Linked DNA regions of Schizosaccharomyces pombe. The protein of the gene in region 1 interacts with the protein of each later gene in a pairwise test. Each region holds a gene or a part of one and is shown on either strand. Other genes may lie near its edges.

What was found. The genes of interacting proteins can lie anywhere in the genome.
Region 2: the proteins of dma1 (region 1) and SPOM_SPBC56F2.07C interact in a two-hybrid assay, tested with the Schizosaccharomyces pombe proteins (2 studies listed by BioGRID).

What each region holds. Positions count from the first base shown.
Region 1 is NC_003424.3:2,357,502-2,361,561, forward strand, and holds dma1 (mitotic spindle checkpoint ubiquitin ligase Dma1), read right to left. Parts: upstream 2,371-4,060; 5' UTR 1,873-2,370; coding exon 1,069-1,872; 3' UTR 527-1,068; downstream 1-526. Other genes in the region: Set1C complex subunit Shg1, read left to right, coding at 75-196, 262-430; mannosyltransferase Imt3, read right to left, coding at 2,942-4,012. UniProt on the Schizosaccharomyces pombe protein: Probable E3 ubiquitin-protein ligase which is a component of the spindle assembly checkpoint, required to prevent septum formation and premature exit from mitosis if spindle function is compromised.
Region 2 is NC_003423.3:4,098,538-4,103,773, reverse strand, and holds SPOM_SPBC56F2.07C (ribosome biogenesis factor recycling AAA family ATPase), read right to left. Parts: upstream 3,237-5,236; 5' UTR 3,194-3,236; coding exon 764-3,193; 3' UTR 550-763; downstream 1-549. Other genes in the region: protein tam13, read left to right, coding at 15-302; puf1 (RNA-binding protein), read right to left, coding at 4,844-5,236. UniProt on the Schizosaccharomyces pombe protein: ATP-dependent chaperone which uses the energy provided by ATP hydrolysis to generate mechanical force to disassemble protein complexes.

The DNA.
Region 1 (4,060 bases):
CTATCACTATTTTTTTTAACTATCATAATGATACCAATGTCACTCACTCTTTTGCCATACTAACATCGCCTCAGGAATCAGGGCCTTTATTAGATCGGCTGAAAAAAATCATTGATGAAGAAATGGTGAAAGATCGCACACTCAAAAGTAAAGACCAGTTTAGGGCTGCTCCTTTAATTGCAGGTGCCGTAGATAGGTAAGCTTACGACTTAATAATGGTTTTTTTTCTTTTCTTTTTGGAAACTCAGTCTAACCCATAAGATCTTCATTGTATGAAGATAGCATGGAACACATCCGAAGCAATGTTTTATCTGATCAAGATTTGAGGGAAGTTATTTATAATTCTCTTGAACAAATAGGGATTGAACAAATAGAGCATGAGGATGAAGAAAAATTGCTGAATAGTAAAACCATGGATGGGCGCAAATGAAGATAATTAGCTACTTAAAAGTTTGAAAAAGTTTTGTTATTGATTACTTCTAAATTGCATATACTGAACATACTTATTACAATTAAGAATTGTACTCTCGGGAATTTTACCAGCAATCACATTAGGTTGCATAAGAAGTGAATTAAAAGTTATAACATTTAATGATGCTGAAGGAGATAATAAATGGACTCTCAGAAGAACAACCACAATTCTTTCAGATTCGGATCTCTATTACTGCTGATTATTAGTACATTCATTTGTGATGCCAATGTTTCAAAAAAAATAAAAAAATGTGAGAGTATGTAGAGATCAGGTGTGAAGGACGACAGAAGTTAAGATTATATATCCATTTAGGATAATTATATTAATGCAGTAATGAATAAAAGAGACCAAGTAGCACTTGGTTTTCTCATCAATAAAATATTTAATCATTATGAGTGTTGATAAATAAAGTTAGGGAGGCATGCTTGTTTAATTCAATCATCAGGCAACAGCAAATGTCAAAGAGCCTGTGTTCCCATAATCTTCTGCCATGCTCATAAAGACTAAATATAATATGATCATTATGTTACGATGGTCATTAAAGGAAGAACTTGAGGACGTAAAAGACAATTAGTAACCATACTGAAAATAACAGTTTACTCAGATGCATCGTCTTTTACCGTTGCATTTCGTAGAAGGTCATTTAGACTTTCGTCACCTTCTTCAACAGGAGCCTCCAAATCATGATATTTTCTACATATAAAGCAACTGAAGTATGGGTGACTTTCGTTTAGGGTTGGGCGTATGCATTTATAGTGATAAGAGTGAGAACAAGGTGCAACGAACAATGCTTGACAAGGTAAAACAGGCATAAGACATATACAACATTCCGGAGGACCCGATTCAGAAGATCCGCATAACACCAGTTCTTGCATTCTTTTGAATTCGTTAAGGTTGTAAGGACTAAGCTTAATTTTCCAAGAGTTGTTTAGCTCAACTCGGGCACGAACACAACGATAGTTGACTTCATGACCTCCTCTATAATCCGCCCCAAGTTGTAATATGTCGTTGTTCGAGATGGGATAAGGCTTACTCGTTTTTGACGGCGGTGATAAACGAACATGGTTCAAAAATGTACCAGAACTAGAACCCATATCTTGAATGTACCAAGTATTGTTTTCATAAAATATTTGTGCATGCCTTCTACTCACAACTTTGGAACGGAAGACAATAGCAGAAACATCACCGCCGTTGTATCGCTCTGTGTATCTTCCTATGTAAATGGGTAGATTATTTTGCTTGCGGTTCCAGTAGCGAACTAACGGATCAAAAGAGAAAGAATGTGCATTGGGACCGACAAAGTTAGTTAAACGAATTGATATTTTATCGTCGTCCTTTTCAGAATCAGTCTCAGCGGCAAGTTCCTGTTCTTTGAGGTATCCCTCAACAGATTTTGTCATTTTTTGGAAAGAAAAGCTTTATTAAAACAATTGAATGGAGGATAGAAAGTTACAAAAAACAAATAAATTAATGTTAAAAGCTTTTGAAAATTGTCTTCCGTATACCAATTTGATGTTATCCAAGAAAAAGTTCAAAGAAATATGCCTTCCTTCTAGTAAATTGAAGATAAGGTAAGTTTCAAATCTATTGCTAACAAAATACGAAAGTATATGGGGTTGTTGTGTTTATGTATTAAAGTTTGGAAGCAACAAGAGACAAAAACGAAAACAAAGGCCTCAAAAACAAACAAACTGTTGAAAGCTAAGGAAGGACAGCAAACAGAACTCTTAACTGAATTGCACACTTTAATTCCGAAAAGAAACACTTTTAATAATCAACCAGAATTTAGCTGTAAATGAAAAGCAATCGAAAAAATGATAGTTTTCGCTGTTATCAGAAAAATATGTTATAAATTATGAAGCCAATTTAGTAGAACAAGTAAATTGCACACAGTAAACGGTCAAATGGTGCTGCAAACGAATACAGTTAATGCTATGCCGCCTCGAAAGGCGCATGACTAATTCGGTATCCAACTTACGGTACAACACAATGTTTTCTTCGGTATAGTAATTGTGCATTAAATAAAACAAAACAAATAATAAAAACAAATAAAAAACTAGATGCGTCGCATAAACAATGACGATGATGGTATTTTGTCTATCTTTGTCTCACCATACAGATGGACTTAAGCAACACCGTTTTTATGTTGAATAATTTATTGTTTTAGTATAATTTAGAATTTAGCTGAAAATCCATCAAACAAAAAGTAAGTTGAAATGAGTAGTTCCGAAAATATCTTTAGCATTTCTATTTTTATAGATTTGGACTTGAGTCATTTCATGGTATATATCCCTTTCCGATCACGGTAGACAATTGTGAAATTACTTGCTTTTAATAGACTATATTAGAAAACTAGAACGAAACTAAATGAAATACAAGGATTTATGATAATTCTATGAAAATGAAAAGATAGACAGGTCAAAACTTCAAAGCAAATGAAGCCTTTGTAGTAGCAAATGCCGAGTAATTTTAGGGACTGTGACTTTGAGTTTGCGATTCCAAATCATAATCAGACATGAAAGGTAAAGAATCAGAACGAGTTTGGTCATACTTTTCATTGGAAGAAGTGAAACGATGGAAAATCTTCCAACGGGACGGAGATGTCTTAGAAAACGGAGATGAAAATACCCGTCGACCAGTGCGGGAGACACGAGCGGCAGGCTTCAAAGCATAGCCAAATATAAAATATACAACAATGAAAAACGTCAAAAAACCAAGAAATGTAAAAATGGCCCAGTGATGCAACATATAGAATACAAATCCAGCGTCACTATCGTGCCATGATGAACCTTCATAAATTTCAAAAAATGCATGGTGGCTCTTTTCATACAATTCGGGAACCATCACCCAAATATGATGCCAAGCTTCGGCATCTGGAAGCTTCCGCCAAGCACTCCATATTATCGACAAGAACAATGGACCAGTCGAATACATTACGGTTAGGTAAGGGAAGTGGTAATTAAACGCGAATCTAGGTAGGTTTCTGACCACCTGTAAAAGAAATGGATGCCCTTTAGCAAATCCCATTACATTATTGCTAATCCCACTTGGGGAAGTTCTCCTCACCCATGCTGGATAATGCAATAAGGGATCAAGGGTTCGATTACAACCAACATCCAAATCCAAATATATTCCACCGTATTTGTAAAGAATAAAGTATCGAACGACATCAGCCCGTTCAATATTGTAAGGATAAGAATCATATTGAGTCAAAAACCAAGGATAATCAGTAGCAATAAACTCCCTCATGGATTCATCAGTCCACAATACATATTCATAATCAGGATGTAGATCAATGCAACTTTTCTGGGCACCAACCCATTTTTCCGGAATTTCGTTGGTTTTCCAAGTCTGATGTATAATTTTAGGAATAGCAGCAGACTGGTTTGAATAAATTTCATGATTATAAACGTCATCAACTTTAAGAAGGTCTGTCTTATAATTAATAAAGAACAGCATCATTGGACCTCCAAAAAGATAAACAGTAGCGGAAAGAATTAGTGTCAAAAAGAAAAAAAAGTAAAAAAGTATTTTGTTCATGGTGGCATCAAATATACGCTTCCAGCGAAATAAAATCAGGTCAGTTGT
Region 2 (5,236 bases), on another chromosome or scaffold:
TTCCAACTTCCGTTATGCAGAACTTTATGAACAACTTGAGTGGTGGTAGCAACAAGGAGGGAGGCGAAAAGTCTAATGACTTTTTGAGCTCTGCTTTGGGTGCAGAAAAGCAAGTGAAACAGGCTCAGACCATGAAGAAAATCAGCGATATGTTTCCTGGTAGCACCAGCGAGAAACTTGCTATTTTGAACAAGATCAACAGTGCAAGTGGTGGTCGTGTTTTGGAAACTCTCGGTGAAATTGAAAACTCATCCTCCTCACAAGATGAAATTATCACCAAGTTGAAGGGTTTTTTGAAGTAGATGTCTGCAGCGGATAATCATGGGAGACGACTAAGACGAGGCCGTGCCTCTCCTTTTTTTCTAACAAAAGAAAGGCAAAACGTATGTATATCGTTAACTTTTCTGCACTGTATCGCCGATGTCACTTTCTGTGGACTATTTGTCGCTTCCATGTTACGTTAGTACATATCAATGTTTCTCTTTAAAAATAAATTGACGAGTTTTATGACTTTTTACATCTCTCAATATTTTTTTAGTGAAATGGTCTATTTTTTGTAATGCTGATAATGTGCAGTAGAAGTAAATTGAGCATAATGTATAATGTATTGTGAATTTCGTTCTGCAATCACTTGTAACATTTCTAGCTTTGTAAACACTCGAAGTTTATTAACCACACATGTCATCTACAATACACTAAAACCACAGAAAAAAAGTATTATATTAATAAACAATGAAACCCCTAATATCAATAATATTTTTTCTCAGGAAATGCTAGTAACACTTTCTGAAAACGATGCATAATACTCAAGCATATCTCGGGTTATGGCTTTCCGCAATGCCAATAATGCTGTTTTAAAGTGAGCTTGACATATTTCTTTCGCTTCCAAATCCTCGTGCATAGCTATCAGACCAGCTTCCTGACAAAGAGCCACGACTTCCGCTCCTGAGCATCCTTCCGTTTTTTCCGCAATCAAATCCAAGTCTACATCCTCTGCAAACTTCATTTTTTCAGCTTGTATCTTCACAATTTGCTTTCTTGCTTCAAAATTTGGTGGTCCAACGTAAAGCAAGCGATCCAAGCGACCTGGTCGCATAAGTGCCGGATCAATCATATCAGGGCGGTTTGTAGCAGCAAGCACAAGTACATTCCTAAGCGCTTCAATCCCATCTAATTCATTCAGTAAAGCTGCAACTACCCGGTCGCTACTATTGTCTTCTCCTCGATTCGCAGTCAAAGCATCTATTTCATCAAAAAATATAACTGATGGACTGGCTTGTCTTGCTTTTTGAAAAACTTGCCTAACGGCTCGTTCACTTTCACCAACGAACTTATCAAATAGTTCTGGTCCTTTGACAGCAATAAAATTCAATCCAGTCTCTGTTGCGATGGCTTTGGCCGTGATTGTTTTTGAACAACCAGGAGGCCCGTAAAGAAGTACGCCTTTCGGAGGTCGAACACCCAATCGTGAGAAGGTTTCGCCATGAGTTAAAGGCCATTCTACTGATTCTTTTAGTTTCTGTTTCACCTCTTCTTGTCCTCCAATATCTGACCAATGTACATTGGGCGATTCCATCATAAACTCTCTCATAGCACTTTGTCGGACAGACGATAAAGCAAACTCCAAATCGTCCATCTGCACCGCACCGAAAATGTCTAATCCCGAAGTGTCCTTTTGTAGTGAAATTGTCCTTTTTATAGCTCTTAAAGCAGCCTCACGAACAACAGCTGCTAGGTCTGCACCAACATAAGCGTGCGTTCGTGAGGCTAGATCTTCCAATTGAGCATCATTAATTTCATTAGGAACACCTGATAACAACAGTTTAATGATATCTAATCGGGCGCTTTTATCAGGAATACCGATTTCGATTTCTTTCTCTAAACGTCCGGGTCGTCGAAGTGCTTCATCAATAGAGTTAGGTCGGTTTGTAGCAGCAATAACAACAACTTTTCCGGCATTAGCCATTCCATCTAATAGAGTCAACAAAGTAGCAACAGCTCTACTCTCCGCTTCACTTACGTCCTCCGTTCGTTTGGGAGCCAGTGCGTCAATTTCGTCTATAAAAATGATTGAAGGTTGATGCGCCCGTGCGTCTTCAAATATTTTTCGAAGCCTAGACTCAGTTTCTCCAAGGTACTTTCCGACCACAGAAGGACCATCGATCGTAAACACTTGTGCATTTGCTTCTGCAGCAACAGCCCGCATAACCATCGTTTTGCCAGTACCTGGAGGACCATATAACAGAACACCCCGAGGAGGCATAATATTAAAAAACTTAAAAAGTTCGGGATTTTGAAACGGAAGTTCTACAATGTCACGAATTTGGGCGATTTGGGCTTGTAAACCACCAATCGACGAAAATGTTACTGCAGAAGGAGGACCGTCGAAGTTTTGAGTCTCTTCACTTCCTTGGTTGTATGCAGACTGAGTTCTGTCTTCATGAGGTAATTTTAATAAATCAGGTGTTTCAATTTCCATACTGGAAGCTGCCGTAAATTTGTAAATACGAGGCTCATCTAAAGACATATCAGAAATTGCTTCTATAAGGTTTGAAGGAGAACGAATGTGAATTTCTTTAACTTTATAAGAGCCGGGAGAAAGCTCATCGAGATCTTCTGTTGCTTTTGGTTCAGATTCATTCACGGAGGGAGAAGATTGAGAGGACCCTACTTCAGTACCCGATTGCGCAGATAAACCTGAATTTATTTCAAAAATTTCCGTAGCCATATTCTCTGAGCTGAGATTTTTGCTACCACTCTTTGCCATATTCATCGGTGATTCACCCATAACAATCATGCCTGGATGAAGATACCTTATTTCTAGCAATTCTTTCCTTATTAAGGACTCTGGTATAGGTTCATTATTGCTACTCAATGAAGCAACAATTTTGATTCCTTCAGCTTCTTTTAAAGGGTGTACATATTGTGAAATGTTAACTCGCTGGAAGGCCTTCAAGTTTGCCCATTTCGCCAATAAAGGACTAATTAATATTTCAAATGGACCTATTCCATTTCCCTTAACTGATTGGGTTATTCCAACAGCTTCACCGCCTTTATGTTTCAAATAAATTACTTGTGACGGAGAAAGCTTAAGACGATTCAAAGCAGCAGGACTTAAGAATACGTGTCGAGTTTGCTGCCTTCTTAAAGAGCCATCGTTTATTTTAACAGTGAACTTAATAGCCACAGACATTAAATTCCTAGTATGGAACAAAATTTAATTTTTGGTTTTTGTCAAGCCCTGTTTCATAAATACTGTACTACGTTCGGCTGTCCTAAATGTGTTCTTAATTACAAATAACTGAATATCAAATGTAAAAAGTTTTTGGAATTAACATTTAGTTAACAATGATTGTTTCTATTACGAGTTCTTTATTTTAATTTGAGAATCGATATTGAAACACTATAGTACCGTATGAAAAAACGAATAAATATCCAAATCACTAAAACTGAATTCGTGAATAAACTATATAATGCTAGAACGTTTTTTTTTGTCTTAGGAATTTGGTTAACTATTTGTGCATTTAGAATATCGTGTGTTTTTTGCTACAGCTAACTCCAGAAAAGGAAACATAGGAGTAGATCCCATTCTAACTTAGGTCACTTCACTTGTTCCAACAGAATAAACATATACTGCATTTCTATGTCAGTAATCATTAATTACAAGGATTGCTATCACATAAAACATTTGTTTATTGATATTGTGTCGAATCGAATTGTTATTTAAGGTTAGGTTGAAAAGGTACGTATATGAGAAACAAAATAATTATTTTTATTGTAAAGCTTTTTTTTTTTTAAAATTAAAACTTTTTTCTATGGCAAATTAAAAAACTCAAGCATTCGGAAGCTTAAAGAGTGCGTTAAATGAACGTTCCAATAAACTTAACATAACCCGAATAATCTCCCTGGATATAAATTCAATCAACGGTACAGTAATAATTATACAAACAAAAATAGGACTCCAAAAGAAAATAAAGGCATGGTAATAAAAAGACTCTGACTTCATGATTGAAATTGGCGAAGACAATCATTAGCTAAGATATAGTTGATTTTACTCAAAATTCACCAATCCAAAAAAATGAAGAAATCTTTTTCTAACCCGTAAACATCATCATAATTCTTTTTTTTTAGATTTTCCATAATAGAAGTTGTGGCATCTTCTGAAAAGAGAATGGTTTAGACCACAACGTTCATGCTTAATGTTTGATGAATGCATAAACATATTAGAATTAGAAAACAATAAGTGAAAACAAAACCCAATAAAGTTTATAAAATAACAGAATAAAAAATAAAAACAAAAATCTTCCGTGCATTTGCGTGGTCACGTTCGCGCCCGAAAGATATGAAATAAGTAGTAAATAAATTCCTTCATGGTTAAACGTATGGCAGAATTAAGAAATCAGCTTATACATATTAGAAATATAAAACCATCAAAGGGTAGATGAAATAACCAATTACTGGCAATGCATGGGTGGTATGCACTACTTAGTTGTAGACGATATCCAAACCATTCAAATGAAAAACACAAAGCGGCGAAAAAGTTTTCAATATTAATTAATTGGCAAAGAGCGTTTGCGTTAAGGAAATAATTTCAAAGAATGGAAAGGAATATGGCACAAGTAGTACTATATTCCCAAAAACATTACACTTAAGTATAATAGGAAAAACGATAAACAACATTAGCGAACAAAGAATGATTCGATAACAAAGGACATTAAAAAATGAAGCGAATACGTATTAATTCACAAACACAATAACAACCATGACGACAAATGTGAATATATACAAAGACATATAAAGCGAAGGGCACTTATGTCTAACGTCAGTATTTTTTAACGAAGGACTAATTGAAGCGCAATTCCCCTTGACGAGGGAACAACGATTGCTGAAGACGAGGGTAATTACCAGGGAACACCTGGGGAAGTTTAGATGATAGACGAGGTAAGCCATAGTCAGCTCCGGCGGTATGATTCATTAACTGGGTAGTGTAGGGATATGCAGGCATAGTTAATTTTCCGGCGGGAACCTCACGACGAAGTAAAGACGAAGATGGGTTGAGAAGAGAGGAGTTATTCAAACTCGCTGACTTTGCCAAAGTGGGATTTACAAGCGAAGAGGTATCTAAAACGGGAGCTCCAGACTTGATATCATCACTACGAGAAATTTGGTATAAATTACCCTTCAAGGGAAGAGAAGCAGTGCCCAGGGGTATGTGCGAAGGGTATGAAGGGTACGC